4 linked regions of the Rhinolophus ferrumequinum genome follow. The protein of the gene in region 1 interacts with the protein of each later gene in a pairwise test. Links are inferred from orthologs where the notes say so. Each region holds a gene or a part of one and is shown in the gene's direction. Other genes may lie near its edges. The genes, in order: MTUS2, SETD5, CTSZ and DMRT3.

What was found.
Region 2: the proteins of MTUS2 (region 1) and SETD5 interact in binary tests that used the Homo sapiens proteins (3 or more experiments, as listed by UniProt). The link is inferred for Rhinolophus ferrumequinum from reciprocal best matches to the Homo sapiens genes MTUS2 and SETD5.
Region 3: the proteins of MTUS2 (region 1) and CTSZ interact in binary tests that used the Homo sapiens proteins (3 or more experiments, as listed by UniProt). The two-hybrid records come from large-scale screens. The link is inferred for Rhinolophus ferrumequinum from reciprocal best matches to the Homo sapiens genes MTUS2 and CTSZ.
Region 4: the proteins of MTUS2 (region 1) and DMRT3 interact in binary tests that used the Homo sapiens proteins (3 or more experiments, as listed by UniProt). The two-hybrid records come from large-scale screens. The link is inferred for Rhinolophus ferrumequinum from reciprocal best matches to the Homo sapiens genes MTUS2 and DMRT3.

What each region holds. Positions count from the first base shown.
Region 1 is NC_046287.1:100,557,660-100,564,848, forward strand, and holds the start of MTUS2 (microtubule-associated tumor suppressor candidate 2), read left to right. Parts: upstream 1-4,183; 5' UTR 4,184-4,490; intron 4,491-7,189. UniProt on the Homo sapiens protein: Binds microtubules. Together with MAPRE1 may target the microtubule depolymerase KIF2C to the plus-end of microtubules. May regulate the dynamics of microtubules at their growing distal tip.
Region 2 is NC_046300.1:44,353,195-44,360,956, reverse strand, and holds the start of SETD5 (histone-lysine N-methyltransferase SETD5), read left to right. Parts: upstream 1-4,748; 5' UTR 4,749-4,815; coding exon of another isoform or gene 4,816-4,886; intron 4,887-5,701; 5' UTR 5,702-5,926; intron 5,927-7,762.
Region 3 is NC_046306.1:3,336,437-3,344,350, forward strand, and holds the start of CTSZ (cathepsin Z), read left to right. Parts: upstream 1-4,902; 5' UTR 4,903-5,049; coding exon 5,050-5,189; intron 5,190-5,595; coding exon 5,596-5,759; intron 5,760-7,914. UniProt on the Homo sapiens protein: Exhibits carboxy-monopeptidase as well as carboxy-dipeptidase activity. Capable of producing kinin potentiating peptides.
Region 4 is NC_046295.1:34,674,832-34,682,220, reverse strand, and holds the start of DMRT3 (doublesex- and mab-3-related transcription factor 3), read left to right. Parts: upstream 1-4,387; 5' UTR 4,388-4,735; coding exon 4,736-5,189; intron 5,190-7,389. UniProt on the Homo sapiens protein: Probable transcription factor that plays a role in configuring the spinal circuits controlling stride in vertebrates.

The sequences.
Region 1 (7,189 bases):
TTTCTGGAATGGCCATCAGAGCTGTCATCATATTTATTACCCTTGATGTCCTGAATGTCATCCAAATGTCTTCCTTTCAATATTTCCTTTATCTTTGGGTAAAGAAAGAAGTCACTGGGGGCCAGATCAGGTGAGTAGGAAGCATGTTCCAATACAGTTATTTGTTTACTGGCTAAAAACTCCCTCACAGACAGTGCCATGTGAGCTGGTGCATTGTCGTGATGCAAGAGCCATGAATTTGTTGGTGAAAAATTCAGGTAGTTTTCGTCTAACATTTTCATGCAGCCTTTTCAGCACTTTTCACTAATAGTAAACTTGGTTAACTGTCCAGTGGGTACAAATTCCTAATGAATAACCCCTCTGATATCAAAAAAGTTAGCAACATCGTTGCAACAAGTCCTCGAACTTAATTGTCAGACCTTATACACATAGCAGAATAATGAGTGATGAAGAGTTAACTTTGTTTTTAATATAATATACATAAAATTATAAGTTTATATAATTTAATCTTCGATGATGGCTGTGTTTAACTACTGGCTGACAAAATTCCAAGACATTGAATAATTGGTGCCTGCAAGCTGCTGTGAACAGCCTCGGGCACACCAGTCTGTATGTGCTCCAGAGCTCCCCTGGTCTGGCTGAGGCTTTGTCGGACTTGAATTACAGTCTAGTTACTCCCTCTGTCTGATCCTGGCCTCCTTCTTCCCACAGTTTCTGACCCCTAGTAACATCCTGAGGTGTGGTAAACCCGTTGCTATCATCTGAATGTTTGTGCCCCCCCAGAATGTGTTGAAACCTACCCCCCAATGTGACAGTATTAGGAGGCGGGGCCTTTGGGAGGTGAGTAGGTCATGAGGGTAGAACCCCCATGTATGGATTAGTGCCCTTATGAAAGAGACCCCAGAGAACTCCCTTACGCTGTCCATCCTGAGGTTACAGTGAAAGGACGGCTGTCTAGAAAGCTGGCTCTTACCAGACACCAAATCTGTCAGCATCTTGACCTTAGACTTCCAGCCTCCAGAACTGTGAGAAATAAATGTCTGTTGTTTATAAGCCACCCAGTCTGTGGTATTTTCGTTACAGCAGCCCGAATGAACTAAGACACCAGTCCCCTGCCAAGTGTCATCATGACTTGCAAACACTGCCCTACCCTTTCTTCCTCTGTCTTTTTCCACGGACATTTCAGCAACTTGGAATTACACAGGGCAGATGCCTTTGACTACCTGTGTGCCCCTCAGTCTGGGAAGTCAGTGGGAATCTGTGATACCTGCTGTAGCAGACACTTTTGATGTCCTGTACCACATCTCCTTGGCTGCTCTTGGACCTCCTGCGAGCTGCAACTCAAGCTGATGATGCCCCTGAATCTCTCCCCCCCCCAATAAAAGGATGCTGCAGGGTCTTTTCTAAAACTCTGGGTGACTGGAATTTTGTGGGAGTTAAAGCCCCAAAGGCAGCTCCAATACACAGAGAATAGGAGCCAGATGGTCACTGCTCAGCCCCTGTCTTTGAAACGACAATTCTGGGAAGACTTTCTAAGCTTCTCAGAGATCCTGCTGTACTGAGCACCTGTTGTGAATAGCAGTGACCTTGATAACACATCTTTGTAGTGACTTTTCGTGCTTCCCTGTCTCAATCTTTCAATTTCATCACTACTGCTTCCTGGGCTCACCTACAATAAGAACCTCTCTGCATCCAACTCCTATTCAGCTTCCGCTTGGGTGGGTGGGCGGCTATACTGATCGTTTTTTCATTGTCCCCACAAAAGAACATTCTACTCTTATTTTCACAGTTTCTAAATACAAGCATAACCAAGTGTTAAAATGGGACTTGTCTTAGAATACCTGCTGGGAACATTAGATGACTGTGCCAGTTGGAGACCTTTGAGAGGCAGATGCCAAGAAGGGTTAGATGTGCAGAAGAAATGTTGAGAAAACACCTGTATGGGGTAGTGGAGGAGGGAGAAGGAGGTTGGCGTGTGGGTGAGGATTGCTTTCCAACTATGATACGGAGCTGACATCTGTGAAAGGATGGGAGGGAGGCTGGATAGACAGAGCTCCAGACTGCAGGGCTCGGGTGATGGGGAGTTCTGGAACAAACACCGCCCAGTAGAGGGGTCCTGCGCCAGGCAGAAACAGCCCAGCTCCAGCTCTCCCATCAGACTTAGCCATGGGCTGGGAACAGATGGCAGGATGTGTGACCTTGGTGTGAGCGCCATGCTGGATCCAAAGGTGTGCCAGCTGGAGGCTGTCACTTATACTCTTGAGATTTGAGTGGCATGCCTCCGTGGCTGCCACAGAAAGAGGTGTCTCCACATTTCAAATAGCGGCATTGGCCCACCTTTGTATGATATGCTGAGTAAGGGTTCTGCCGCCGTCAGCCCAAATTGAAGGAAAGGGGAGAGAGGTCAGGGAGAAGGCGGGCAGTGAGAATTATAGGGTGCTGTGAGGGAGAGCAGAGTATAACAGCTACTTCATGCAAAAGAACGTGTACTGCTTGGCATGTATCACCTGGGTTTGGGGACATGCATGAGTCCAGAGATGGCTGCCTGACTCCTACACGAGAAGCTTCAAGGAGAGAGGCTGGTCAGAGCTGCCTGTGACCAGGGAATGAGGACGGTATTCTGCTGTCACAGTGACCTGTACAGACATGGTGGAACATAGTGGGATCTGCCACAATGGTGACCTTGCAGAGGGTCTGTGTGAAGGGACTACTGGAGGAGAAAGCGGACTTGGAAGCGAGGACCAGGGCCTGGTGCAGGGGACAAGTCTCACCCTGCCACCCTGGAAGCATCAGTCTTCACAGGGCTAGCTGGGAGGATGTAGAACAAGAAAGGAAAAAGTGACGTTTCTCTTCCCCAGGCAGGCTCTGAGCTTGGGTCAGGATGGGAGCTGGTGGGTGTGGGAGCTGTCTGGGGAAGGCTTAAGTGGAATGGGACTGACGCTTTGATTTGAATTGGACTGGACTTTTTAATACCGGAGAATCAGACTGCTGATTAACACCTGAAAGTGACAGGAAAAGCTATGAAATCTGCCCTAGATTCTGCTAGAGGAGAAGGGAGATCTGATAGAATAATTTAAAAAGACAGTGGTGTGGAAAAAAAAGGTGCTGCTTCATGATTTCACCAAATAGTCCAGCTTGTTAATAAAATTAACTGGTATAAAATATTGCTTAACATGGTAGTTTGGAAAAATGACCCCACCTTAAAAAAACACCTAAATAGTGCAAAGACCAGCCCCAGCATTTCCTTTTCATAATGGTAGATGTCTATTCCCCTGCTGTGGGAACCAGAGGAAGCTGAAGCTCTCTGACCTCGCCTGCCTTTCCAAACCTTCTAGGAGCACTGCTTAGGGCAGCGGGGAGCATTTCACGCAGGACTGGAAGGGTCCTCGGGAAGTCATTAATATATTTATTCATCAGAGGTGTCAAGGTTCTCTAGAACCTCTCGAACAGAGTTAGGCACAGTTGGTGCTTGTTAAACACAGACATAAACCTGGTTCTAGAAAGAAACGCCTGCCTTTTCCGGAGACATTTCCAGAGATCAACTCTGGGCTCCTTGAGCACCGGGAATCCTCCCGCCCTCCAAGTTCTTCCCACTGCTGAATCCTAACTCATCCTGCTGCTCCTAATTCGAAGATGCTCCCTCTTCCTTCCCAAGAGGGTAACAGCAGATCCCACTGTGCGCAGCTCCCTGCCCTGTAGCCCCCGCCTCCTGTCTTACCCCTTGCTTCCCCTGAAGTCGCGGGTTCGCTCGGGGACCGCGATGTCGCTGGGCGCCCACGAGCCCGCGGGGAGATGGAGCAGATGGCGCGCGTACGGCGGCCGCGTGGCCGGCAGAGGGCGCTACGGCTCCCGGCGGCGGGGCTGCGGACCGCGGGGCCGGGAGGAGGCGTCCGGGGCCCCGCCGTGTGCGTCTCCCGGCGGCCGCGAGGGTGCGCGCCGCTGCCGTCCCCGCCGCCCTCCCGCGGGGGCCCGCTCGCCGCCCGGCGGCTGTCACCGCGGCCCGCACCTCACGAGCTGCGCGGGCTGCGCGGTGCGCTCCGGAGCCCGGGCTTCGCCGCCGCCGCTCCGCGGCTTCCCTTTGTCCGTCGGAGGCGGCCGCAGGGACAGCGCTGCAGCGGCCGGGAGGGCAGCGCCCCGGCGCCCCGTCGACGGCCCCCGTGCGCGTCCCCCGCTGCCCCGGCGCTCGGAGCGGGCGGCGGCCTGGGCGGGGCCTGCGCGACCGTGGGGACAGCGTTGACGAGCCGGCCCCAGGTGCGGGGGCGTCCCTTGCTCTCCACCTGCGCCACGTCTGCCGGCTTCTCTTGGCAAGTTTGTCGCCCCCCTTTGAGGACATCCTTTGCCGGTCAGTGGAGTCCCGACCTGTCGTTAAATAGAAAACTCGAGCTGGAGGAGGAAGAAGAGGAGGGAGCGTGTCGGAACCGGTCCGGGATGAGAGTCCATTAAAGCAGTGGTGGCTTCTTGGACACCTTTCTTGGCTCTTTCCCACCCAGGTGAGCGCATCCTTCAGCACTCAGGGCTGGGCTCTGGTCCTGCCTTCTGGAACCCGCGGGAAGACAGGTGCCGGCGTTGGGGAGTGATCGCAGCCGGGGCGGGCAGCGCAGCGTTTATTTGGCTTTTCTGTCATCGTGGCACTTATTCTGGCCTGCCACATTCCCTGCTGGGGCGGAGGTGTTGCAGCTCGTTTGGCACCTTCGCGTGCTGCCAGGTTAAACATCCTCGGTCTTGGAGGGGATGGTAGGTTAGTTAAACCGAGCCCCCTTCCCTGCCCCCAGCTTTGGGTAATTCTGTGTCTTCGTCTTAATTTAGTCTGTATTCTTTCCTTTGAGCTTTATAATGGTAAAGCAGCGAAGCGGTTTGCTACATCCATTTTCTCATTCGGAGCCTGTGCACAGAAGGAATTTCAGGCACACAAGCGATGTTACTACCATTCTATTTTAAATACAAACACGGCAAGAAGTACTCTTGGCAGGATACCAAAGGCGCCTGTACTCTCTGTTATGTAAGGGCTTGAAAAACATATTTGCTAATTGGTAAAGTTATAAATGGGATTATCAGAGCATCTAAGAAGGGAGGGTGAAGATAGGTGAGAACCATCATTTCTACTTTAAACCAAAACTTTACTTGAAGATAAGCATGATCTTAGCTTGAGACACCCTTTAAGATAGTATAGGGCCCTGTCTTTGAACTCATTAGGTAGAATTGTTAAACATTAAAAAATAAGGTAGGTTTTGTAAAGGCCATTAAGAAACTTGGTGAAAAATTTTTGACTACTTATCAATAGTAATAAAAAAGGATCCCACAGATATCCTTTATAGCTTTTAATCTATAGCACGAGTTTACTTTTATAGCTGATGGAAACTTAGTAATTATGAGCTGCCAGTTACTAAAGATCTCCTACCCCCAAACCTGCTATCATATTTATGGTTATTTTCAGGTAAGAAGACAAAAGTAGAAAGCATCAGATATACGGATGTCAGGCACCCCCTTTTGCGCCCTACCCCAGTATTTCATTCTAATTGGTTTTGGGTGATGCTGTGGCATTTGTAATGTTAAAAGCTCTGTTGGTTGTTGTCATGTGTAGCCAGGGGTGAGACCCATTGGCTAGCATTGTGTTTTAAAATTTGTCACTTTGTAGCCCCAGGTGTGGCTACAGTGGTTTAAAGTAAGTAAAACAAAAAAATAAATAAATAAGTGGTTAAAAATATGGGGAAGAGAAAAATGGTATTGGAAAGGACATGTGTTGAAGAATTATAGCATGTACACTTTTGTATTTTTGTCTAAGTATCTTTCTTGATTTTTTTTTTTTTTTTTAAACTGGCAAAGAGTAGTTGATGTTTATCAGAGACCCGTAATTTCGTGTTGAATATGTAGGGGCATCCTAAGTGGGACATTTCTTTGTGCACAGGTGACAGGGAAGTTGAGTAGCAGTGTCAGGCTGTCCCTTTATGTTTATATGAAAAGATGGCAAGTCTTATTAAAGATTGTTTTCTCCATCAAATTAAAAACGTATGTTAATAGAGACTAGTAAATTAAATGCAAAAAGCTTTGATTGTTTTTAAGGTCAGAAATAAACCTGGCTGCTGAATCAGTGTTTTCCATCTACCTTATGTAATTCCAGAGACTCCAGTCTGGGAGCAGATCTTATGGATGGTGTATGAAGGCTTATGTAAGAACTCCGACTTTGCTTTTCGTACTCCATTAAACTGGCTGTTTTGGCTATTGCATAATTGGCACAGTACTGGATTGTTAAAGCCCAGCCCAGCCCACGCACTTTTATAATGAATTGCTGCCATCAAATTAGAGGGAGCAGCGGGTGGAGGTTTGTGAAAGAGAGATAAGAATAGTATCTAGAGGACTGATGTAACATAAGACTGTTATGCTTAGCAGGTTTCTACAGATTTGAGTGCTGCGGTATAAACCTCTCTAGTCTTTTATATCTCCCAGCAGAGGTGGATTGGCTGGGAAGCTAATGAATCGTAAGCCACAGGCCCCCCCCTTAGGCTTCTTCCGAGCCCCTGGGAGGGCCACTAGCAATATGCTCACATGGTCATACCATGTGTATATTGATAATTTTGGATTCTTATTAAATGAGGACACTTTTCCCCACTCCACTCCCACCTCCCATTATCTAAATGTAAGGCCCCGTGCACCCTAAATCTGCCCTGTCTCCAAATTATGTTCAAATGTTAACTTACAAAAATGCTTTTCCTTATTTTAATGCCTGTAGTTTTAGGAAAAGACAAAATAAGAAATCTGGCCAGTACCGTAGTTGACCTGCTGAGAAAATGCAAATTGCTATAACCTAAGGCTGTGTAGAGCTCCTGAGATCAGGTGGTTACCTGGAGAAGCAGCTGTGCCTGGGATCTCACACAAATAGGGACTCTCTTGATCTGAGTGTGAGCTGGAGGCAGAACAGGGAAGGGAGGAAAGTGGGTTAAACCCCTTCCACATCTCAGAGGTGGACTGCCAGGGGAAGGGGGAGAAAATTACCCAAACATGCTTCATTAATACAAAGTTAACAGGAACAGATAGCATCAGCTCTATGGGAGATCTTTTTGTAACCTCCTTAGCATCTGTTTCTAATAGGAATTTTAAACAGTGAGCAAACTCAGGCCTGGAAAATATCTTGCAAGAAACAGATGCGGGTTGGGAAGGACTAGGATGAACAATCAACTTGTTCTTAATAGCA
Region 2 (7,762 bases), on another chromosome or scaffold:
ACAGCCTCAGTACAAAGACTGTCTGAAGCATATGAGGCCTGTTCTCTTTCTGAAGCGGCACTCCTCTTCCTGCCAGTCCTCTTCACAGGATTACTGAAGCAGACTTGTTCTGGATTTCTTTCATTGGATTGGCTGTTTATGGGACTCTTGTCTCCCAGCTGCTTCCGGCTCACCTGGCTGATGCAATTTCTTTTTCTGAAATCTCTGTTGGAATTGTTCTTAAAACACTTTTTGTGTGTCTTCTGAGAGTGACCAGACAAATCACACAGGTCTTGTGCTTTCAGCAAGTCATATAGAAAAGAGACTGTCAGAATGACAAATATAGAGACTATTGACCATTTCTGAACCTAATTAAAAAGACAAATAATTATAAACTTTCTGACATGTTTTATTTAATACCCTTTTCCCAAGAAACTATGTAAATGGTGACTTCTCAAAAGAGGACTCAGTAGTGGGAGACAGGCTGGTTCTGCCTCTGAATCCAAGAACGTACCATTTAGTGTTCCTGTGGATTCTAATGGATTCTTTTGAATATAGTTAAATTGAAATTCTGATGCATTCATTTTTAACCCCCTACTACTCATTTCTCTTTTTCCTCTGTTGTTTCTTATATTCTTTCTTATTTGTTGTCCTTGGTTTATTTCGTTTTTTTTCTTTACTGTAATCTTCATACCTTTTATTTTTATAATTCCTAGTACCATGTTTCCCGAAAACACAACCTAGCCAGACAATCAGCTCTAATGCGTCTTTGGAAGCAAAGATTAATGTAAGACATATATTATATATAGTAAAATAAGACCAGGTCTTATATAAATTTTTGCTCCAAAAGATGCATTAGAGCTGATTGTCCGGCTAGGTCTTATTTTCGGGGAAACACAGTATGCTCTTTTAGAATCGTTTCTAAAGCACAGGTTATTTTCGGTGCTGCGAGTTAGCTCAGTTGGTTCGAGCGCATTGTTACTAATTACTAACATCAAGGTTGCTGGTTTGATCCCTGCAGGAGCCATTTTGAGCTGCACCCTCCTAAAAAAAAAGTTTATTTTCCAATTTTTAATAAATTGGAAATCCATAAAAGTATCAACATAAAGTGCATTTCCTCTCTACTCTTTGGTATGTGAAATATCAGAAGCAGCTCCTTTCACACATACGATACATTAACATAGCAGGTGTTAATTAAATTTTACTTTTTTCCCCTAAAAGTCCTGGGTCATCACCTATTTTCCTTTCCTTTTTGGAGGGTAGAAAGTTAATTAAGGCCTTATTTTTCCACATGTTTCTGTTATGGAGTTGACCACAAATAGAAATGACTTCCTTTTGTCACTCTTTCTACAGTAGGACAAGAGGCTATAGGTGGAATGGAGTGTCGGGTAAGAAAGGAGTAATGTAGACTTATACGTTAATAGGTGACGGGTAGGTAAGTCCTTGTCTGACTAGAGAATAAATTTGACATTTGATTAAAGAAAAGCCTCTGGATTTGGGAAGCGGTCAGTGGAGAAGAGAAGCACCCCTAAGAGAGATAAAAAGACGAAATCCCTTTGGAAATGGGAGAGAATTCTAATTTGAAGGAAAGAGGATTATCCAGTGACAAAGTATTTACCACTTCTTAAGTCAAATAAAGATAATTTTCCTCTCCACCATTTCTTTATTTAGGTCTGGCTTTACAGGAAAATGGGATGTAAAGGTTAAAGGACAAAAATATAGTACTAGATGGAACATAAGATGTTAAACAAGACAGTATACAGAGATGAAACAAAATCAGCATTAAAAATATTTCTGTAGAATTCTTTGTGTGCATCAATGTTACTTCTTTCTGTACTAATTTGTGTCTCAACTTTTTCTAGGTCTTCAGAGCTACTGACATAATTTTTGGGACTTCGTATTCAGAGGTCTATAAAAAGGTGACTGAGCCAAATTCTTTTAATTTGTTTTAATTCTTTTAATTTGTTTTTGTATTTTGATGAATGTTAAAATCATATGTTGAGATGATGATCAAAATTCAGCAAATATTTCTCAAACACCCTCTTTGTACTAGGCACTGTTCTGGATGTTGGAACTATGGCAGAAGATAAAACAAAAATAACCTGTCCTTATAGAGTTTGTATTCTGTTAGGAAGAGACAGACAAATTAACAAGTAAAAGATATCTTGAAATTGTTCCACCTAGAGACAGAGTTAATTCTTATCAATCTCTCTAGGACATATCTCCAAACTATAGCAGATGAATAACTGCTACAACTACTAAGCTTAGTAAACTATAGTAGGAATCTATCGTCTTGGCTTATAAAACTAGAGTAATTTTAAGAAAATATTGCGTATAGACGATCTGTTAAAAGTTCTTTAGTTAACATTTTAATAGCTGCATTTTGCACAGCTTATTTAGGGAAGGAACTATTCTCAGAGTTATATAAGAAATTTGGTTTTGTTATCATTTAAGAAGCTCCAATATTGTGAAAATATTATTTAGAACAAGATGGTGAAGCTTATTATAATGATTGCTTTCATTAGAGGAGTGGAAGGGTAAAACGAGATAAAAGGAAAATGGAGAAATTCATGAGAGAAATTTATAGTTGGCTACTTAATGTTTCTCAGAATTGTTTCTCAACTATCCAGATTAGCAAGGGCGGAATTGCAGTAAGGAATGTCTTCAGCATTTATTCGTTTATTAAGGAGATACTGAAGTAATTGTTTCGTCTTTTCCTTTTGGTATATCTTTTTAAAATTACTCAGAAAAATAACAACTGTCAGCTTAGGTTTATAAATTGACTTCTATCTGGAAGCCTACATTGTTTTATGGTCATATAATAGTATAGCAGTGACAAAGGATTTTTAATGGTGCTAAGTAACTTTTTTTTGGTCCTTTACTGAAAATATATAGTACATGATTCAGATTCCTGTATTAATCAGGGAAGGTATGATCATTATCACACTGTCTGATTATCAAGCCAGGCAGTTTTAGGGCTTTTTTTATTTTTTATTTTTAATTCAAATTATACGGTGATACTAAAAGTAGAGACAGAGTTGTAACCAACAATCCCCAATATTTAATTTTATGCCTTTTGGGCTTATTTGATAAGTGTTCTACTGTCATTTGTAGATTTTGTTTCAGTTTCCCAGAGACGTTGAGGATATACTGCTTAAATCTCTATTTGGACATATTGTTAGGGTCAAAGAAAACATTGTATGTAAGATGGGCGCAAAGGCAGAAAGTTACATTAATCACTTCTCTTTCGTGACCTGTGAGGAAGCAATGGATAGGAAGATTTGCCCTTTTCATTTTGGTCCCAAGTCTAGCAATACGTCACCTTGAGTTGAATAGGAACAGTTGTATTGCCTCACCCATATTTGGAGAGGTCCTTTGGTGAGATCAAGCTCTTTCAAAGTATAGGTTCCAGGGAAGACTGCTCAGTGTATAGCTATTCAAGCATTCTAAAATGATGGCACAAAGAAGTAATATTATCTTTATGCATTCTTAAAAATCTTGGCCTGATTCACTGTTCATAATTGATTTTCTTATCCACATTAATTTGCTTTGTGTATCAAAATAAGATTCAAACATCTCAGATCGTCTACCATTTAAAATTTGCATTAATTCCCTAGATTGGCTCAATTAATATCTTACACTTTTCATTCCATTTAATATTTTTAGTATAATCTCTTGACTTTTCTAGTGTCTTATTTCTTATGAATCAGTATATGAATCATGACTCTTTGTAGTCTTTTTTTTGCAGTCTTTATTAAGCTGAGTCTTTAACATTCACATTGACTTTCTTCCGTATGAAATGCTTATTTCATCTTTTCAATGTGTTTTTTTAACAATATACAACAACTAATGTAAAACTATACGAAGTATACGGTTTTCCCTTTTCACCATACCTCCAAAATCTCTTAATCTACTTTTGCTTTTTTACACTTCAGTAGTTGCTGAGTCTTTCTGTTCCCAAATTCCAGTCTGTATATGGCCACCAATTCAAGATATCCTCACTGCTTTTCCATAGAAAGTTGTCTAATCTTTATCATGAAACCATATTCTTTGTGGTTTATGTTTTTATTCATACCTAGCAGTGGATATTACCTCGCAAATGTAGTTAAGATGATCTTCTCCCAAAATTATAAAGTAAAAATGGTTTTTATAAAGGAACAGTGTTCTGTGATAAAAGAAGGCAATAGGAAATAGCTGTATCCAATCAAAAAGAAACAAATCGATCTCATATTTAATTTGGAAGAAATAGCATTATTGGCTCTGGTAAACTGCATTTATTTGTGGCGGGGGGGAGTTTAAATGAAAGATCTTGAATTGTTAAAAAAGAAATTAAATTGTGATAATTCTATTAACCATCCTATATCTTAAAAATTGTTAGTTGTTAGGTCCTAGGCTGCCAGGAAATTTTGTTTGATGAACGATTGTAGAATAGGGGAAACGTACTTATTAGTGAGCTGGGCAGACTGTTACTTTCCCTTTATCAGAAAAGAAAAAAATTAAAATAAAAATGAAAAGTAAGCAGAACTTTTGCTACCTTACTTTGTGGAACATTAATATAGTACATAGTAAACATGGGATAATGTGTAGATCCCTTGCTGTACTTGTTTTATATTTATCCCTTGTAAAAGCTTTATTCAAAAAAATGAAAAACCATTTAGTAGTATTTAGGATGAATTTAAAGAACTGTCTGGTTACTAGATATTTTCCTTTTCTGTGCCAGGATTCCTCATGTCCATAACATGTTGGTTGAGGCTCTGCAGCTCACCCCCACTCTCAGAGTGGCCAGTCTCCATTAATTGGACCCCGTGATTTCCACTCTCTGCTGTGTTGGACGTCATGAGCATTGCAATCCCTCTGGGAGTCACCACACCAGATACATCCTATTCAGATATGGCTGCTGGATCAGAGTAAGTGATAACTTCCTAGGTCATAGGTGAATTACCAGTTTGTGTGGAGACAACTTTCTTATGGGCATCTCATGATAAATATACAATATTTTCTAAACCCAAACCTAGCCCACTGTAAATGACATTAGACCTTTCCCTTTCTCCCTTAGAAGCTGGAGGGAAAAAAGAGAGGAAAAGAATTTGGGGGTGGGGGCAGGATTTCTGAGTAAATCATTAATAGAATTAAATTTGCAAAGTAGTGATTGCATTTTTGTTTGTATTAATGGGTGGGGAAGATTGAAATAAAATAGGTGTCACTACCTGCTGTAGTAGAGTTAATGATTTTTCTGATGGACGGAGATGACGAGAAGTTCTCTCCAACTGATTTTCCTTGAAGGCCTCTTCCTATGTACTTCTCATTGTTGTAGAGTAAAGGGGCTGTAACTGAATATGGGCCGGTTACTTAGATGTTCTGACATTTTGGGGTAGAAAATGTGGAAAGCAGTGTCATCTGTTTTTTATAATATTCATTGCCTAGAAAGAGGACCTTCAAAATCAGTGGCACCAAACTTTTTTTTCAGCTAAGAGCAGCTTTAGGAATTCAGAGTTTGTCGAAAAGCCCAATCCCTAAAATAGACTCTCAATTCTTGAAGAATTTAAGTGCCAAATGGCAATGAAGGTAGGCCTTCATTATAAAACTTTATATATTATTCACAGTTTTAAAAAATTTAGCCTTTTGTATCCCTTCTCTTTTAAGTTGTCCGAGATTCCCCCTGCTCACAGATTCCCCCTCTTGTCCTTTTACCTCCCTTGTACCCAATCTTCCTTGCTTACAGAAAGGAAGTGGAAGCCCCCTACCTTTCAAGACGAAGTGGCACTACACCAGGATGTGAAAGTCCAGCGAAAGAGACCCAAGGGGCCTAGGGGGCAGCACACCCCCAGAAGCCAAGTCTATTCCAGGCAGTACCAGGGATTAGGGTCTGGGCTGGAAAAATCCTGGTGTTTTGAATATGTTCAGGTCCAGTTCAGACTCTTGATCCCACAGCCACTTCTTGAGTGAGGTGGGTGTTGCTCTAATTCCCCTGTTTCTCTTGCCATTTTCACAGTCCCCGGGGATTCTTCCCCCTTCAGCAAAGCAAAGCAACTGTACCAGAACTCTGGGTTCAACTGCGTCCCTGATTAATAGTGGTTTTCTTCCTTAAAACGGAGAATATTATGATAGTAAAGAGCATGTATATTTCTTCACAAAGCCACTTGTTTACTGGCTTCCTTAAAGAGGAAGACTTAAAATGAAACTACCCTAAGAAGCAGTATATTATATTCTGGGGTGGTCTAGAATTTAAAGCAATTTTTGGCCTTATTCCCATATAAAAACAAAGACGGAGGGTGGGGGGGTGGGGAAGGGTGGATTGTGTTCCAGGGTTTTTTCCTCTTTTGTTTTTATTTCTTTGCATGCCAAAGAGATTCAGTTATGGCCAATAGCTGAGGTTTACAATTTTATAACTATTTTCCAAATAAAGTACTTAAAAATCTTCCTACATTAGTCGGTGACTAGTTGTGTAGTGTTAATAGATTTTTATGAGGTCAGCCACTAGCCTCCTATATGAATTAACTAACAAACTATTTAGGTAAATAGCATTAACATATTTGAGAGAAATTTCAACAGAGATTAAATCAGTGAGTTTGGAATAAATAGATAAGAAAAAGACCTAAAGCGACTATTCTTAAAACTGATATTTTTGATAGAGTACAGAGATGACTACCCATATTTATAGCTGGGGGTCCAGAAGTAATTGCAGAAAGAAAAAAATACTTCTGGCCTAAAACTTTGACTGCAAAGTTTCTATTTCCTGAAGCATTTTCATTCATAATTTCCAGTAGATACTGTGGTTATAACTAATTACAGTTGTTCATTCGGTATTTCTGCAAAGCAAGAAAACGTCAACAATTATGTACCATTCTGTTAAATTATTGATGATATTTGTTAATGCTTCACCATGCATATTCTGTTCTGGGCACTGACACGAAGGTTAAACCTGGTATGAAGGGCAACATACTCAACCAAGTAAAAGACCTAGACTTTACCTCATGGGATTTTAAAGCTGATGGCAACATTATACGTTATGCATTTTTTATATATTTGTAGGAAAACCTCTAGGTATAACAATAGGAGCAAAAATTTTTCTGAATTTGCAATCCTGCTGTAAATAAAGTTCAGATTTCTCAAGAGGTAGCATTATAGCAGCAAGATTGCCTATTGTACTTTGAAGACCATTGATGGAGTATATCTCTTGTACGCATGCGTTCTTGTGTCTGTGCCAATCTGTCATAGCAGTTCAAACGTAGCGGGGGTAAGGGGGAGGCTATAATTACATTTGCATAAAATAGTTGGCTAATAAAGAGATGCAATCCTAACACTTAAAGTTTTTAATCCATTTAAAATATAGTTAAGAGCTGATACACATGTCAAGGAATATCCTAAGAAATCCTATAGTTTACCTGTCAACATGTAACTATGTATTGAATCAATAACCAGTATGGAAATTGCAAAGGTTCCTTATCAAAAGACAAGAGCTTAAATTTTAGTGTGTGGCACGCATAGCAATATATTAAATGCTGTACTTGACATAGAAGGTGTTGTGCAGATGGCCTTTAACCTCCACAATATAGATTTTGTTCCTTAGACTTGCACGTGAAGTGCGTATGTTCATATTCACCCAGTTTGGAGATGAGTGAGATACAACAAACATAACTGCATCTCCATGGCCATCTTTTATTTCATGCCACTGTCTTTTTTCCTATCCAAGGGGAAAAAAAGACATTGCTAATAAACAGCTGTCATGTTTCACCCCATGTGTTCAGTGGTACAAAGTCTCTTATATAAAATACGTACAGCT
Region 3 (7,914 bases), on another chromosome or scaffold:
AGAATAAGTAATTGTAAGAGAAAAGGAACTGGGAGAACGTCTCCATGTTTCCTTACGCCAGGCTGCCAGGCTTCACGGAGGAGCCTCAGACTTTCTCCCCCGGCCCAAGCGTGGTATCGTACCCACACCACGCTGGCCTTGCTGGGCTGCTGTCCCTCCCTTTCCAGCCTCTGAGCCCAGATGTGGAAATGCTGTGCCATCCCTTCCGGTACACCTAGGATCAGAGTCCTGGGCTGTGGCACCTCTGCTGTGCAGGAGGAAACACGCTCCCCCCTGAACCACTGTGAACCTCCCCCAGCCTCTCCATCACCTAAGGTGGGCAGCTCCTGAGAAGCAGCGTCCTGCGGCAAAAACAGAGATAAGCATGATAGGACCAGGCCCCTGGAGCTGAAATCAAACAAAAGTGGACACTTCTTCTAGCCCAGTGTTTGTCCAAGAAATCTCTATTGTATGCATCTCAGAAATCCATCCGTTTGTGCACAAATATTGGCTGAGTGCTCTGCTCTTTGGGGGGCTCGCGGGACCTCGGGGAAGGGGGGAACATGGGCCCTGCGCTCACTTCGGGGACACAGAGACACAGCAGTACTTTACCCTTTCCACTGGCCATTACCAAGTTCTGTGCCACCTCATTCAACCACCTTGGAGCTGGGTGATGATGCTTCTCTCCATTTTGCAGAGTAAGCAGAGGCTCAGAGAGGAAATCGGCCTGTTCAAGGCTAACACAGCAGAACCGGGCACCGGCCACAGGTCCTCGGACCCCTGCATCGGGGGGTCAGCTCGAGGCGTCGGAAGGCAGGCCAGCGAGATGCCTCCAGCTGGGCATCTGAGGAGCCTGGACAGCTATTTTCACCTTCCTCCTCACCACTGGCCCGTGCCTGGGTCCTGCCAGCCCTGCAGCCCAGATAGGTGGCCCCTTGTGTCTGCTGCCACCATCTCTCCAGCAGCACCCTAACCCGTCACCACCAGCGCTCCCATCTGCAACGACAATAGCTTCTAACTGACCGCCATGCTTGCCTCCTTCCATTTCATCTTCCCCCGGCCACCAGAGGGATCTTAACAAACATAAATCAGATCTCGCCTGCCGCCCTTCAGGAAACTAGCTGCCACTAGGGTGAAACCACCCCTCTTACCACAGCTGATGTGTGGTTGAGATCCTTGATGGGAAAACACTAGTGAGAGGAGTGGGAAGAGAGCCGAAGAGGACAGAGGTGCAGGCCTACCCTGAAGATGGAGAGAAGAAAAAGAGGCGGGCGGGAATGAGGCAGGAGTCCAGCCTTGATTGGCAGAGCCAGCAGCTGTGCTCCCTGCAGCCTGGAGGTCTGAGAGGTGCGTTCAGGGCCGCCTTCAAGCTCTCCAGGGACCTCACCCTGCCTACCTCTCGCCAGCCTCTCTGCTGCCACTCTCCCCAGCAGCTCCTTCCAGCTGATCATACCTACCAAGCGTGTTTGCATTTCAAGGACTTTACGTACTCTTCCTTCTGCTTAAGAAATCCAGCATTTTCCATGGCTCTGTCCTCATCATTTAATTCCAGCTCACTGGAGAGCTAAGAGAAGTGTCCCAGGCCGAACTCAACTCCCCAGAGCCCCTGCCAGTCTCTAAACCCCGCCCACCTCCGCCGAATTGATCCATCTCCAAGCCCTTTTCTACTTCCAGAGTCTGTTCCTTTATCTACATGCCCCTCACCAAGGTGTAAGCTCCCTGCAGGCAGGGACTTCCCACTGCTGTACCCCAGGGATGGGACACTAGTTTGGCACATACTAGGTGCTCAACACATGTCTGCTGACGGCCCGACTGTGGAGAGCCAAGCAAGTTGATCAGGCGAATGACCAAGACCACTGAGAGAGTTCCTGGGCCAGCTCCCAGGTGGGCCGTATGTGACATGCCGGGCCACGGCTGGCACGTTCTGAGGGCGCGGCTGACGGGCCACCCTCACCAATGTGACCCCAGGGAGCCATGTTCCCTCCCACGCAAGTGTGTGCAGCCAGGAGAGGGTGTGGTGACAATGGCGCCTGGGGACAGCAGCCAGGTTGACAGCGCTCCTGACCCGCCCCAACGCAGGCCTTTATTGTAAAGGCCTCTGGGAGTCAGCTGGCGCATCCGACCCAGAGGGCACGTGGTCCTGCTAGAGGAGCCCCTAGAGCTGGCAAGGAAGCCAGACTTGCCTCCCGAGCACTGTCAGCCTCCATCAAAACAAACGCTGGTTTCCAGGATGTGGCTAAACTCAGGAATGTGGGATAATAGGAAATGTCTGCAGCTTGCCGGTGGGAGCCAGACTACATGGCATGAAGGAACAGGGGAAGAGGACTTTGAGGCAATTCCACAGTAAACAAAAACTCAACCTGTATTTTCTCCTCCAGGTTGGGCAAATGGGCCAGCCCTGGCCTAACTAAGTTATATGTGCTCTTTATCGAGACGAAGGGGAAATCAACCTCATTTTAAAAAGTGAATAGGTTTTTGTGTCGTGGCCTTGGGTCGTGTATGTGCCAGGAGACCGTATGGGGGGGGAGGGGTGGCTAGATTCAAACCTGCCACCTACAAGCCTTATGCTGAGTACAGGTCTCTTGACCTCTCTGGAACCTCAGTCTTCCCACCTGTAAAATGGGGTGATAACATCACCTCACTGGGTTTTGCCACCATCAAATGAAGGCAGATGTTTCCCAGCCTGGAGACTATTCTAGAATGTCATTGTCTTTCCTTGTAAGCACCACTGGGGAGCAGGTACGACTCGGTTACATCCAGGAAGAAAATCCCAGGGCATAAAGCAGGTCGGCTTCTAGGAAGAGGACTTCACTCCGAGTCTCAAGTACTTATGAAATGTAACCCAGATGGGACAGTGGGGGCACACACAGCCAAGGAGAGCACTGCTAGCGCCAAGCTCAGGCAAGCAGGCCTCAGAGGGCAGCCAGCCGCGGGGCCCTGTCCTGCTCCTCCTCCATTCCAGACCACAGGAGCTGAGTCACAAATGTCCTCACAGGCACCAAGGGACACAGTTCCCAGGTTTGCAAAGTCCCGGCCGGAAGCTACCACTCAGGTGCATTGGTTTTGAGGAGAGATGGGTAGGCGGGGTGGCCGGTCCGGCAGGTTCTTTGGTGTGTTCTTCCTCTTCCTCTGCTGCAGCTGCCTTTTAGGTTTATCTGTGTGCCCTCCAGAGAGCTCCTGGGGCCAAACGCCCTTTGCTAATAGCAGTGCACCCACCTGCATGCTCTGACTGCATTCTGTGGCCAAAATTTGGGCTGGGTTGGTTGGTACCTGCCCGCCTGTCAGAGTGGTCAGCCAGGGGGACATGCATCCATACACTGACCACAGCCTAGTTCAGTTGTGAAGAAAGGGCCCTGGGTCTGCTTGGCTTCGTGTGTTTGACCCATCGGGGGCTGAAGAGAGAGTGTGTCACATCAGTCCTCACTTGTTTCTTGCCTTGAAAGTTGTGGTTTCAAATGTCTAGCCTCCTCCTGCCTGATTTTCCCATCAGCTTGAGTATGAGTTGCTTCTATGTCGGGGAAAGCCCAGGGCCACACAACTTGTCAACTCCAGATGCCCTATCCATTAGCAGCCTGAAAGTGTCACCATCCCTCCCTCCACTACCCTGCAGTCCACAGGGCTGAATGGCCTTCCCACGCCCTCCCTCACCCTTGCCCAAGACCCTGGCCTCTGGAGGCCAGGTGATCAGGCAGGCCTGTATGCCCTGTAGCAAATGAACTGTGCAGCCCAGCCTTACACCGAGCAAGGGGCCCTCTGAGCACGGGGCCCTGTGTGACTGCAGCGCACCTGACGAACTGACTGGCGCCAAGGGTTACCAGCAGCTGACTTTCCAAGAAGAGAAAAGGCCCTTCCAAGGATGGAGCCCGTGACTGCACTTTACCTCAGTGATAGCTGTTCAGGAACAAGGACTAAAACTTCTGGGCTGATGAAGCAATGCCCTAGGCCGCAGAGGCCTCGCCTGCTCTGACAGGTGTCCTGGCCCTCCAGGGATCCCTTGGCCATCTCAGCGCTTCCAGAGGTGGCCACAGAACTTGCTGCAAGTCAAGGAGACAGTCATTTTGACTTCTGATTGCCAGCTGGGCACGGGCTGAGGCGAGTACCCTTTCACGGTAGAAGGGGAAGAGCAGGGCAAGCTCACGCCTGGGGGGACCCCACAACAAAATGCCTGGACCCTTTGCTTACAAGACAAGGAAGCCTGTTGTGTCGCGTGAGGAGCAGAGGGAGGGAAGGAATCTTCAGTTATGAAACAAGGCCGCGGTCCCACTTCTGCTTTTGGTTCCCCATTTGACTCTGACGAATTTTGTTCGCAGGAAACCTTTTCAAGCATCTTTGGAAAGCAGAACCAACGATTTCTTGGCCAAGTGAAGTTTTCTTTGGGGGCATTTGCGGCCTTCCTCCTCCGTGAAGGGTGAACCTCTCTCCAGAGGGCCGGGGCCCTTGGGAAGCAGGGTTCAGAGAAATCAGGCCAGGGCCTAAATTCTGGGAGGACAGTGGCTTCCTTGCAGGACTTGGGGAGACCCCTGTCCCATGGGGGGGGCGGCCTGGGCCCAGGTCGTATGTGGGGACAGGCAGCACCGCACAGGGCCCAGGATCCCAAGAATCAAAGGCTGGGGAGCCATTCAGACCCTGCAGTTCCCACGCCAGGCCCCCCCCCCACCCCCCCCCCGGGCCCTCCAAGGTCTGACAACGACGTGCTCGGTCAAGCCACCAAGCCACGTGGCTGGTGGCCGGTGGCGGGTCAGGTTTGGGGTCTGGCGCCAAGCCTGACTCGTGACCCCGAGTTCAGGCCCCTCCCCCTGCCCCGCGGGAGGAGGTGGCTCGGCCCTCAGCTAGCTCGGGGCAGCCTGTGCCCCGGCGGCCGGGGCGGGGCGGGGTCACCGGGGGCAGGAGCGGGCGCCCCGCCCCGGGGGTGTGTCCGGGCACCCGCGCCACCACCTTAAGGGCCGGGCGGGGCCGGGGCCAGAGAGCCAGGACCGGGGCACCGGCGGAGGGGCACCCAGCGCGGAATCCGGAGCGGGATTCGAATCAGGACCCGGAGCGGGATCCAGAGCGGAACTGGGCGCGGGGGCCATGGCGTCGTCCGGGCCGGCGGGGCCGCTGCTGCTGCTCGTGCTGCTGGCTGGCACCGCGCGGGCCAGCCTCCACTTCCGCCCGGGCCAGGGCTGCTACCGGCCCCTGCGCGGGGACCAGCTGTCCAATCTGGGACGCAGGTCGGCGCCGGCTTGGGGAGCTTCTCGCGTGCTCCTGCCTTTTGGGGACCCTGCCGCCTCCTTGGAGTGCCAGGAATCTAGGCGCCCCGCCTCCTTTGACCTTTGAGGGTCAAATTTAGCACCTTTGTTTTGGAGGTCACTCTTGGCTTTCATATCCAGGGGAGCCCTGGTATTTGCAAAGCTGGACAAACCCCACTTTCCTGGCATTTGGAATAGTGCTTGGGGAGGAGTAAGGTTGCTGCATTTGGGGGTGCCCTGCCTCCAGAAGGGCTGGGGTCTTCTGCTGTGAGATGGACTCACTCCCACTCCCTCTCATTTAGGGGAGGAGCCGGTGTCGGGGACCCCTGTCTGTGCACGCGGCCCAGCAGCCCCAGTGCTGATTCTGTGGGTGGTGGTCTCTTTCCAGAACATATCCCCGGCCTCATGAGTACCTGTCCCCATCGGATCTGCCCAAGAGCTGGGACTGGCGCAACGTGGATGGGGTCAACTATGCCAGTGTCACCAGGAACCAACACATCCCTCAGTACTGCGGCTCCTGCTGGGCCCACGGCAGCACCAGTGCCATGGCGGGTAGGTGGGGGACCCGCTGCCCCCTTGACTGGGCCAGGAAGGCCTGTCCAGGCTGCTTCCTTGTCAGCACAGGAGGGCCGAAGCACAAGAGCCTGTGATTCCGTGCCAGAGCTCAGCCTGGGATGGGGAGGTGTGTGACCCTCAGACCTGGGGGAGCTGACCTGTGCCGCGTGTTGCCCCAGACCATCAAGGCAGGGCGAAGTGGCATAAGCTGGGTCGTGTCTCCACTATGCAGGGTAGGCCCCTGGGGCCCGTCGGTGGCAGGCAACACTAGGGCTGGAGCCCAGTGGCTCCCGGGTTCCTCTCCCAAAGTTTGTGAACCCGGCCATTTGGGATCAAACCAGAAATGCGAACTCCCCGAACTCCCTGCCAGTGTTTGGGATGGAAGTGAAACTGCCTTGCAGCCGCAGTTAATATTTGAGGTGAACGCCTGTCTTGCCCTGGGAGCGTTAAATAAGGTTGGCCCCTTCCCTCGTCTGGGCCTTAGCTGTCTGACCAGTGAGGAAGGAGAGGCAGCTGAGGCCCGTACCACTTGGAAGGCTGCGGGGCCTGGCCTTGGGAGAGAAGGGAGAAGGACAGACTTCACACCAGTGGAGCCTTCCTTCAGCCCCAGGCCCACCTGGCAGCCTGCGGGAGGGGCTCGGGCTTCTCCAGTGGCAGCCCTGAGTTCCAGGAACCTGCAGTCACACTGGAAGTCCCTTGGAGAAGGGACTCCCACTGGGAAGCTGGCCCCTGAGGGCTGGGGGCACCGTCTCCTCCCTCGCTGGGCACGCCTGCTGCAGGAGGGGTATCTGGGGGGTTCTCCCTGGTGGCCTTGCCCCATCTCCTTTTGACGACAGATGAGGAGACTCCTGAGGGTTGGAGTATAAGGGGGCAGGTCGGCTGAAGCCCCATTTGAAGGTACAGGAGCCCTCAAGGGAGCTGGAGATGGACAGGGCCAGAAGCTGAACGACTGGGAGAGATGGATGTGGGCAGCCTTAAGGCAGAGAGTCAGAGCAAAGGCCGGGCAGGCTGGCAGGCGGGAATGGCGCTCTGGTTGAGGAAGTGAAAGAGGGCCTTTGTGGCAGAGCCTAAGTGTGGGGGAGGGGACAGGGGAGAGCTGAAAAGGTCACAAGGGGCCCTGCCCCCAGGGAAGCCTCAGGAACTTAGAGAGGGAGTCATGTGCCAAGATTTGTGTTTGTAAGACTACAGGACTGGGAGGGGATGGCTAGAGGTGGTCACTTTTCAGATGGGTCAACCTGCCACAATTCTGGAGGGGAATTTCTATCCTGCGCAGAGAGACTGCGTCTCTCTTTCTCCTCAACCCTCTAACATTTTCCCCAGTAGCAGGGCCCTTCTTCCTCTTTCACTGAGAAAATATGTGTAGAAGCCCCCAGAAGGGGATTTCCACGGGCCCTGGCCCAGCTGCCACCTAACTCAGCTGATCCCCGCCTGTCCCCAGGCACCCAGCACCTGAGCCCCTTGCTGAGGCCCCTCCTCCTTGGGCTTGGACTGGACCAGGACTGTGGGCAAGGGCTTGACCCCACCCCGCCTCCAGCCACCACCCCACTGCTGCGCTCCCTGAAGAGGCGTCTGCAGCCCATGCTTCCTCTTCTCCATCCTTGAACCCACTCCGGCCTGACTTCCACCCCCCACTCCACAGGCATCGTGCTTGCCAAGGTCATCAGCAAGAGGCCGCCATGCTGGCAGGTCCAGTGGTCAGCCCCCAGGCCTCTCCGTCCTGGGCTGTGCTTGCTCAATCCTCCTTGTAACGCTTTCCTTGACTTTCTGCATAACCCGATCTCCTTCCTCCTCTTCGAGGCTCCTCAGCCTCCCAGCTTCACTAGTGAAGGTCGGGTTCCCCAGGACTGAGTCCTTGGCTGCAACCAGACCCTTCACCCGAACTCCAGCTTGAGACCCAGCTGCCCCCTCTCCCTCTCGCTTGGACACCGGACTCCTCGAACCTCATATGCTCAGATCTCAACAATTCCTCCTTCCCACCACCACCCTCACCCCTGTCAACGTAAAAATATCCAAACCTGGGGAGAATTTTTCTATGAGTTTATTTGAGCCCAAACTGACAACAATTGCCGGGGAGCAAGATCCCAAATGCTGTTTTATGCATTGGGAATGAAGGAGGGGAACGCGAGAAGAGTGCCTGCGGGTAGAGGAAGGG
Region 4 (7,389 bases), on another chromosome or scaffold:
AAAGAGATCAAATATATGGTGATGGAAGGAGAACTGACTCTGGGTTGTGAACATACAACATGATATATAAATGGTGTATTATAGAATTATACACCTGAAACCTATGTAACTTGACTAACAATTGTCACCCCAATAAACTTTAATTTTAAAAGAACGGTTTTACAGCCAGTGCTGCTCTCATTTTACCTTGGAAGGTAGGAGTTTTTTCTTTTCCTTTACACAGAAGGCAAACAGGGTCTGCAGGCCGCCACTCCGCTCCTCTTCCAAAATGGTGTGGGGACCTGACCCACGCCCTCCTGCTACCTGCGGGGACGAGCTTGTTCTTTTGCACATGGCCACTGCCTCCAAATCCCAGATCTGAGGGGGGAATCCGCAGGTCGGCCGAAAGGCGGAGGCCGCGGGGGCATCTGGGGCTCGTGGCCAGAATGGGGAGTGAGCGACTGGGTGGGGGTCTTCAGGGGATGCGGACCTGGACCCCAGCCCAGTGGGGAGCGCTCCGAAGCGCTTTTCCATTCCCTCCCTTCGAAAGCGTGGAGTTAAGGTCGCCGCTCAGTGGGCCCAATGCAGGAGCGACATCCCTACCCCACCCCCAAAAGTTGGGAGCGGGCACAGCCTGTGTTCGGGCTGGGTCTGATGAATCTGCACCAATGGGAGCGCTTTCTCGGGCGTGAACCACTGGCTTCGAAAGTTCGAGAATCTGAAGGACTGAGAAGCAGCATCTGCTGAGGCTGCACAGGGCCGACGGGGTTGCAGCCCGTTCCCCGCCCTTGTTTGCTCCAAAAGACCTAGGCCTCTGGAGATCCTCGGGCTGCCCACTGCCAAAATGGTATGAAGACATGACCTCCCAGGACCTTATTTCAGCTCAGCCGCGTCCCCCGGGACCGCCAAACGCAGGTTCAGGCGTCCCGGCCTCACGTGGCCTCTGCGCCGCGCCCCAGAGAGCGGCTTCAGGGATGCATGGGGGTTGTGGGTGCGCATGAATTAATTGAGGGAGAACAAGGGCATTATTGTCACCTCAAGAAATCGATTGCTAGTTGCCCCACCGCATCACTAGACATTTGTTCCCCGCTTTTCAATTTGAAGCCAAAGAGCGATGCCTAGAGGCACGGACAGCGTGAGAGCTGAGAAATTCGTAGGCCGGGAGACAGGGCTGGTTTTCCTGCATTCAAAGGACTTTCTGCACGCCCCTGGTTTCCAGCGTCACCGTGGTCGCGATTAAAACGACAAAATAGGAACTCTGACCTCCCCCTCCATGAGATTTCAGCAAAGCCGAAAATTGCCTGATTTATTATACAGCCGGGACAATGTGAAACTGTCTTTTTGTTTCTCGAGGCGAGAAGCCGCTACTACTAGGACTCCCAGATTTGGAGTCAGAACAAGCTCCATTTCTCCGCAAGGATACCTGCATTCCGCGAGCTTTTAGATATACACACACCATGGGATTGAGTGCCGGCCAAGAGAAAGAGAACCACATATGCACATTATCTTTCAGCCTTTCGCTGTTAATACCTGTCACAGTTCTACCCAGTTAATTGTGGTTAGAAAGCACACATGCACATACCCCACCCTGAGCAGAACACGAGTGGGTCCAGTCTAGTGAGGTTACATTTATTTGTGATCCTTCCCCCTCCCTTTCCAAGGTCTTTGATGATTTTTCCCATAAGTGTAAGCTGCCGGGACTTAGTAGAAGCAGGCCGCTCCTTCTAAATGTGATTCGGACCATATGCTTTCCACATTCATCCCCGCTTCAGCTTTTCTTCTCTGCACTAACTGCTAACACGTTATAGTCACCTTGAAATTTCCTCTGCTATTTTCCAATTAAAGGCTTAATAGCCCTGGAAACGGAGTTCATGTGGTGAAGTTTACCATAGCCCCTTGTTCTAAAAGGCTTTCTGCTGGGATCCCATTATGTGCTTGAATAAACCCTTTCTGCAAACAGAAATGGGACTCGGGATTGTCAGGTGTTGGGTTACAATAGACTTTGAGGCAGGGGACATTTTACCAACATAAATACAAACCTGTCCCTATAGGGGGATGTTGTCAAATACTGGGATATGGAAAACATTCCCATCAAATATGAGAAGAGGATTATTGCTCTATATGAAATGAGTATTTCGATCTCGGACCCCGATGTGCACTGGAGTGAAACGGTGCCCCAGGACCAAAAAATGCCAGACTGTTTGAGTAGCAAAGGGATAGGGTGGCTAGGTGACCGAGGGAGGAAAGGGGGTCGTCTTGCTAGTGGGAATACCACCGCCCTCCAAACCCGGGGCAGAGCTTTTCTGCTTTTCTTTTAAAAAAAAAAATGCTTTACTCCCATGATTTTTATACTCCTGGTTTCTCTGACCATTTGGACAAAATCAGGAGAAATGTGGCTTTCAAACAAATCCATGGTCCTCGCGTTCCCAAGAGACCCGGAAGTTTCAGCGCGAACGTTCCCAGATTCAATGTCATTCTAGGCCCTGTCTCTGTCACGTGAAGCGACTCGCTGCCAACTCCCCACTTCTCGGCCTCTGTCCCACCGGGCTGCGGGTGACCTCTGCCTCCAGTCCCGAGAGTTTATGAAGTTCCTTCCGGTTGTAGTGTTTTTGGGCTTCCTTTCCTAGCGAAGACTGGGAGGAGAGGAGGGATTGAGGTGATGGTGTTGGGGGTGGGTAGGAAGGGGAAAAAGACTGAGGGGTCCGTGCCACCACGGTTTTGAGGGGAGGCCTCTCAGGGTTAGCATTCGTGCAAGTGTACCTGTTCATCTCCACCAGAGCAGCATCCAGCGATTCCCAACCCCCGGACAGCTCTGAACCCGGGGCCGGGGCGGCTAAGGGCTTCAGGGGAAACGCACACACCTGCCCTTTTTATCCCTCTTCCCCTCCCAGAATCACCCTTCTAGGAGGAGGGTTGGCTGCTAGAATGCCTGGAGGTGCTTTACTTGAATTCACAACAAACACAGAAGGACGTTTTCAGGTTGCTTGTTTGCTTCAAGGCAGAGAAAAGCGACCTCCCTGAGGTGACAAGGTCCGCTATACGGCCGAAAGGTTGGCTATTGCAGCGGAGTCAACTACGCTCTCGTTTCGTATTCGATTCGCCCAGAAATGAGCTCAGTGTCTGCTCTCAAGAGCATGCGGACCCAGCTCCGGGACTGGCATCTCCCCCTCTTCGCAGTGAGCAGTTGTATTGCCCTGCGCCGCTGTACCCTCCAGTGTTTTGTTTTTGTTTTCTTGGATTGAGAGGTGGGGTGGAGGTTAGTCGTCCCTGTGCGTTTGCGGCGCTAGTCTGCATTAGGCCAAACCGGTACTCTATGAAATTAGAAACGCGCAAATAACAGTTTAAACAAAGTTTGATGCTGTCATCTTATGCAAGCCCCCCCCCAAAGACAATGCGGTGACAGAAGAATGACTCCATCCCTTATCTATTACTAAGTGCCTGAGTCCGTGGAGATTTGAATTGGGTGACACGAGACATCGGTTTGATGGTTCAGTGGCTGTTGGACAGAGGGGAGATCATAGCCAGTAACTTTTGGGGCGCTATCGTCGCTTCCTCGTCCACTCTAAAAATTTAGACCCAGCACTTAACGCAAATCCTCCACACCAGCGCTTCCCCCTCCTTTCAAGACTGAGACTGTTTTTTTTTTTTTTTACTAAAACATGGGGAGGAGAATAAAGAGATTAAACTCAGAGCGGAAGAGGGAGGACTGTGCCTGCAAACTGGGTTGTCATTCTTGGGCTAGCAGGTTTTCAAAAACATTCATTTTCTTCGGCAGGAGTAAGATTTTTTTTTTTAATGTTGCAAAAGGAAATCAAGAAAGAGCCCAAATTTCCTGAACCAATTCCACTACTCTACTCCCAGTGGCCTCAGGGCCTGACTCGCCCCAACTTAAAACCCTCTGGACTCATGCCGGGTCCCGAGTACATCCGCAACGCTGCGGAAGGCTTCGGTTCTCGCGGAGCCGCGTTTCTGCGGCCAAGTGCTGGGATAAAAGCAGCCTCGGGCTCGGTGCCGCCAAATCAGGCCTGGTGGGAGGAGAAGGGATCGAAGGGGAGCCGGCAGCTCACTCGCCTATAGGCACCCCCACCCTCACCCCGCTGACCCTCCCCTTCTCTGCCTGGAGTGCATCACTGCGTCCCAGAGCGCTGCAGTCCCTCCCGCCAGGGGCAGGGGAAGCGCAGAGAGCTTGGAGGAGGGGGCCGTGAGCGCCCCCGCGAGAGCTGCCTGGCTGCAGGTGGCAAGGTGATGTGTAGGCACTCGAGGGGCGCAAGGAAGGAGGAAAGCGTGGGGTGGAGTGGGGAGTGCAAGGAGTCCGGGACCCCGGGGGTGGGGGTGACACTGGGAGGGAGGAGCAGTGGGGGGAGGGCGGTGGAGGAGGTGCTGGGCCCGGGCAGCGAGCGCGGGAGCTGCAGACGAGCTGGCTCAGACCTTAACCAGAGTTCTCGCCGGCTCCTTGTAGCCGCCGGAGCGCCTCGGCGAGGGAGGACGTGCGGGCTAAAGCCTCCGCTGGAAGAGACGCGACCCGCGTGGGACTGGCGGAGTACCAGCGGGAGGCTGAGGCTGCGAACGCCACGGAAGCCATAAAGACGGCTGCTGCACCACCGGCCGTCCCGGAACGCACGCGGCCTCCAGGGCTGCGTGACCAAGGACCGCGCCCCGGGGAGGCCTCCCGGGAGCGGGCTTCCCAGTCCCGCAGTTCAGCGTCCCGTGGCCCGCTCGCGCCGCCAGCCCGCCAGCTCTTCCGGGAGCCTGGGGCATGAACGGCTACGGCTCCCCCTATCTGTACATGGGCGGCCCGGTGTCGCAGCCGCCGCGGGCGCCCCTGCAACGCACGCCCAAGTGCGCGCGCTGCCGCAACCACGGTGTGCTGTCTTGGCTGAAGGGCCACAAGCGCTACTGCCGCTTCAAGGACTGCACCTGTGAGAAGTGCATCCTCATCATCGAGCGTCAGCGAGTCATGGCGGCGCAGGTGGCGCTGCGCCGGCAGCAGGCCAACGAGAGCCTGGAGAGTCTCATCCCCGACTCTCTGCGCGCCCTGCCGGGACCCCCGCCGTCGGGGGACGCCGCCGCCGCCCCGCAGCAGCCCCAGACCTCGCAGCCATCTCAGCCGCCGCCGCCGCGCCCCGCCGCCGAGTTGGCTGCCGCCGCCGCGCTACGCTGGGCCGCCGAGCCCCAGCCCGGGGCGCTGCAGGCACCGCTCGCCAAGCCAGGTAAGAGCATCTGCGGGGCGGGAGCCGGGCCCGGCGTTAGGGGGAAAACACTTCGGAGCTCCTGCGGCGGCTCTGCCTGGGAGGCCCGGAGGCAAGTTTGAGGAAGTGGGCCGGGCCGGGCCTTCCTCCCCAAACCCCGCCAAGCTGGTTCTTACTCTCCGTGCAGAAGCCGGCCTTCAGCCTGGATCCAGCAGGTAGAACCAGGCGCCCGCAGGAAAGATTCCGTGGGCAAGCCAAACGGCAGGACTGTGCGACTGGCCTGCCAACTGTCACCACTAGTTTAAAGGGGAACGTGGCCGTTTCAGTGGGAAAGTAAAGAGGTCGAAACAAGACCATATTAAAAATCCACGCGGGCATACACACAACGGTGCGGCAGGATTTTCCTGGCTACGAACTTCTAGGGAACCTTGCATTTGGAGATAGGGACAGGTAGATGCAGGGACAGAGCCAAGGCCCAAGACTTGGCTGACTGCTAGCTGGGCGTGCTTCTCGGCCCTGGGGGAACTGGAGCGAACCCGAAGCCTGCGTAGTAGTGCGCACTGTGGCCTTCAGCCTCTTGTAATTTGTTGAAAGAAGGCTCATTTAGAAGCAATGCTAAGAAGGGCCAGAAAGACTTCTAAACTTATAGCGAGGACCCAGAATCTAGAGAGCCCAGAGTCAACTCCTTTTGCAAAACTGCTCAGGTCCTTTAACACCTTTACTGGGTCCGCCCTCAGTTGTCTCTGTGGTTTAAAGAAACAAACAACACTTGATCTATAGCGAGGAAGGCCACCTCTGGCTAGCCCTTTCCCGATTCTAGGTAAGCCTGGGCCTCCAGCTGCTAAACCTCAGATTTGGAGCAAAGGCTCTCTGGTCCTCTTGCCTCAACTCTCCTCTTCTCCGCTGCCCTGCTTTGTAGAGGGTGGACTGCCCTGAGCCCTGAAGGTGGGCAGATTCCCTCACCCCCAACTCCTGCTGCCATCCCTTTCCCTCCTTCAGGCCTCTGGAGTCTGCAGACCCCAGTTGAGTCTTTCTCCTCAGGAATCTCTAGCTTGTCCTGCCCAGCCCAAGTGCTCCTTTAATTTTAGGCTCTTGGAATTCAATGGACATGTGTTTGGTGTTTCCCTTTCATTGTGGCAAATGTACAAAAGAAAAAAGCCCATCTTCTCAGGGAGGGGGTTAAAGGGTATGCTGGAAGTCTGAGAGCGAAAGCCCTGGAAGGCCCAGAGCCCTGTATGTAGAACTGTGGTAGAGCTTCTGTCTATATCTCCCACTCTCACACACGTCCAAGGAGATTGTGGGGGTCTGCGAATGCTTCTGGCTTCTGGAGAGAAGCTTTCAGGAACAGTGAACTGCTGTGTGGAGCTGGGGAAGTGCAGACTCACTGGTTTAGTGGTGATTTGATAGGCAGCTTGGCAGGCACAGTTTTGCTGCCCTGTTGCTCAGTTATACTTTCCAGGCCAGAAGCTCTTAGAACGTCTTATGTGAAGAGCAGAACTGGGTATTGTAAGGACAGAAGAGAATTTGCTGAACATGGATGTTGTGGATATTTAATCCAATATAGGATATAAGCATTTCTCTGGTAATGTCCCCCACCCCAGTTGTCTCTTTTCTGTCAGTCTGATCTCTTCATATTTGTAGATTAGCCACAGAGGAATAGGAGGAGGGAAGAGAAAGAAGGCCTAGTTTACTTTTCTTCTTTAGGTTAGAGAGAGTTTTGTCTCAGTTCTAGAAGCTGATCCCTGCTAGTAATTTTTCTTAACCTTTCTGTTTCCAGTTTCCCTATCTCCATTTCCTCAGCACTAGAGCAGGGATCTGAATTTGTCAGTGGTAGCATTTTGCAGTGGCCACCTGCCCAGCAGCACTCCTGTAATAGGGCTTTGGATTTTGGGATCCTAGTCTTAAGAGAGGATTCCTTCCACATCCTGTGCTCTTCAAACCATTCTTCTGGGTAGCCAAAATTCATGGCTTCTAAAGAGTCACAAAACCAAAAACAATCCTGGGAGGGGGTAGTGAGGGCAGGAAGAAAGGTGGAGCTGCAGCTGCAGCAGCAGGAGGATACAGCGTTTGGGAGAATGAACGAGGGAGACTGATTTCACCTGGACAAATCAGACCTGATGCTCTCTCTTTTACTCTAAGTATTCAGGGATAGATAGCCGGATCCCTCCAAATTGAAAAGAAGTAATTGCAAAGGAGAATAGGATTTACTGTGTTTCCCCGA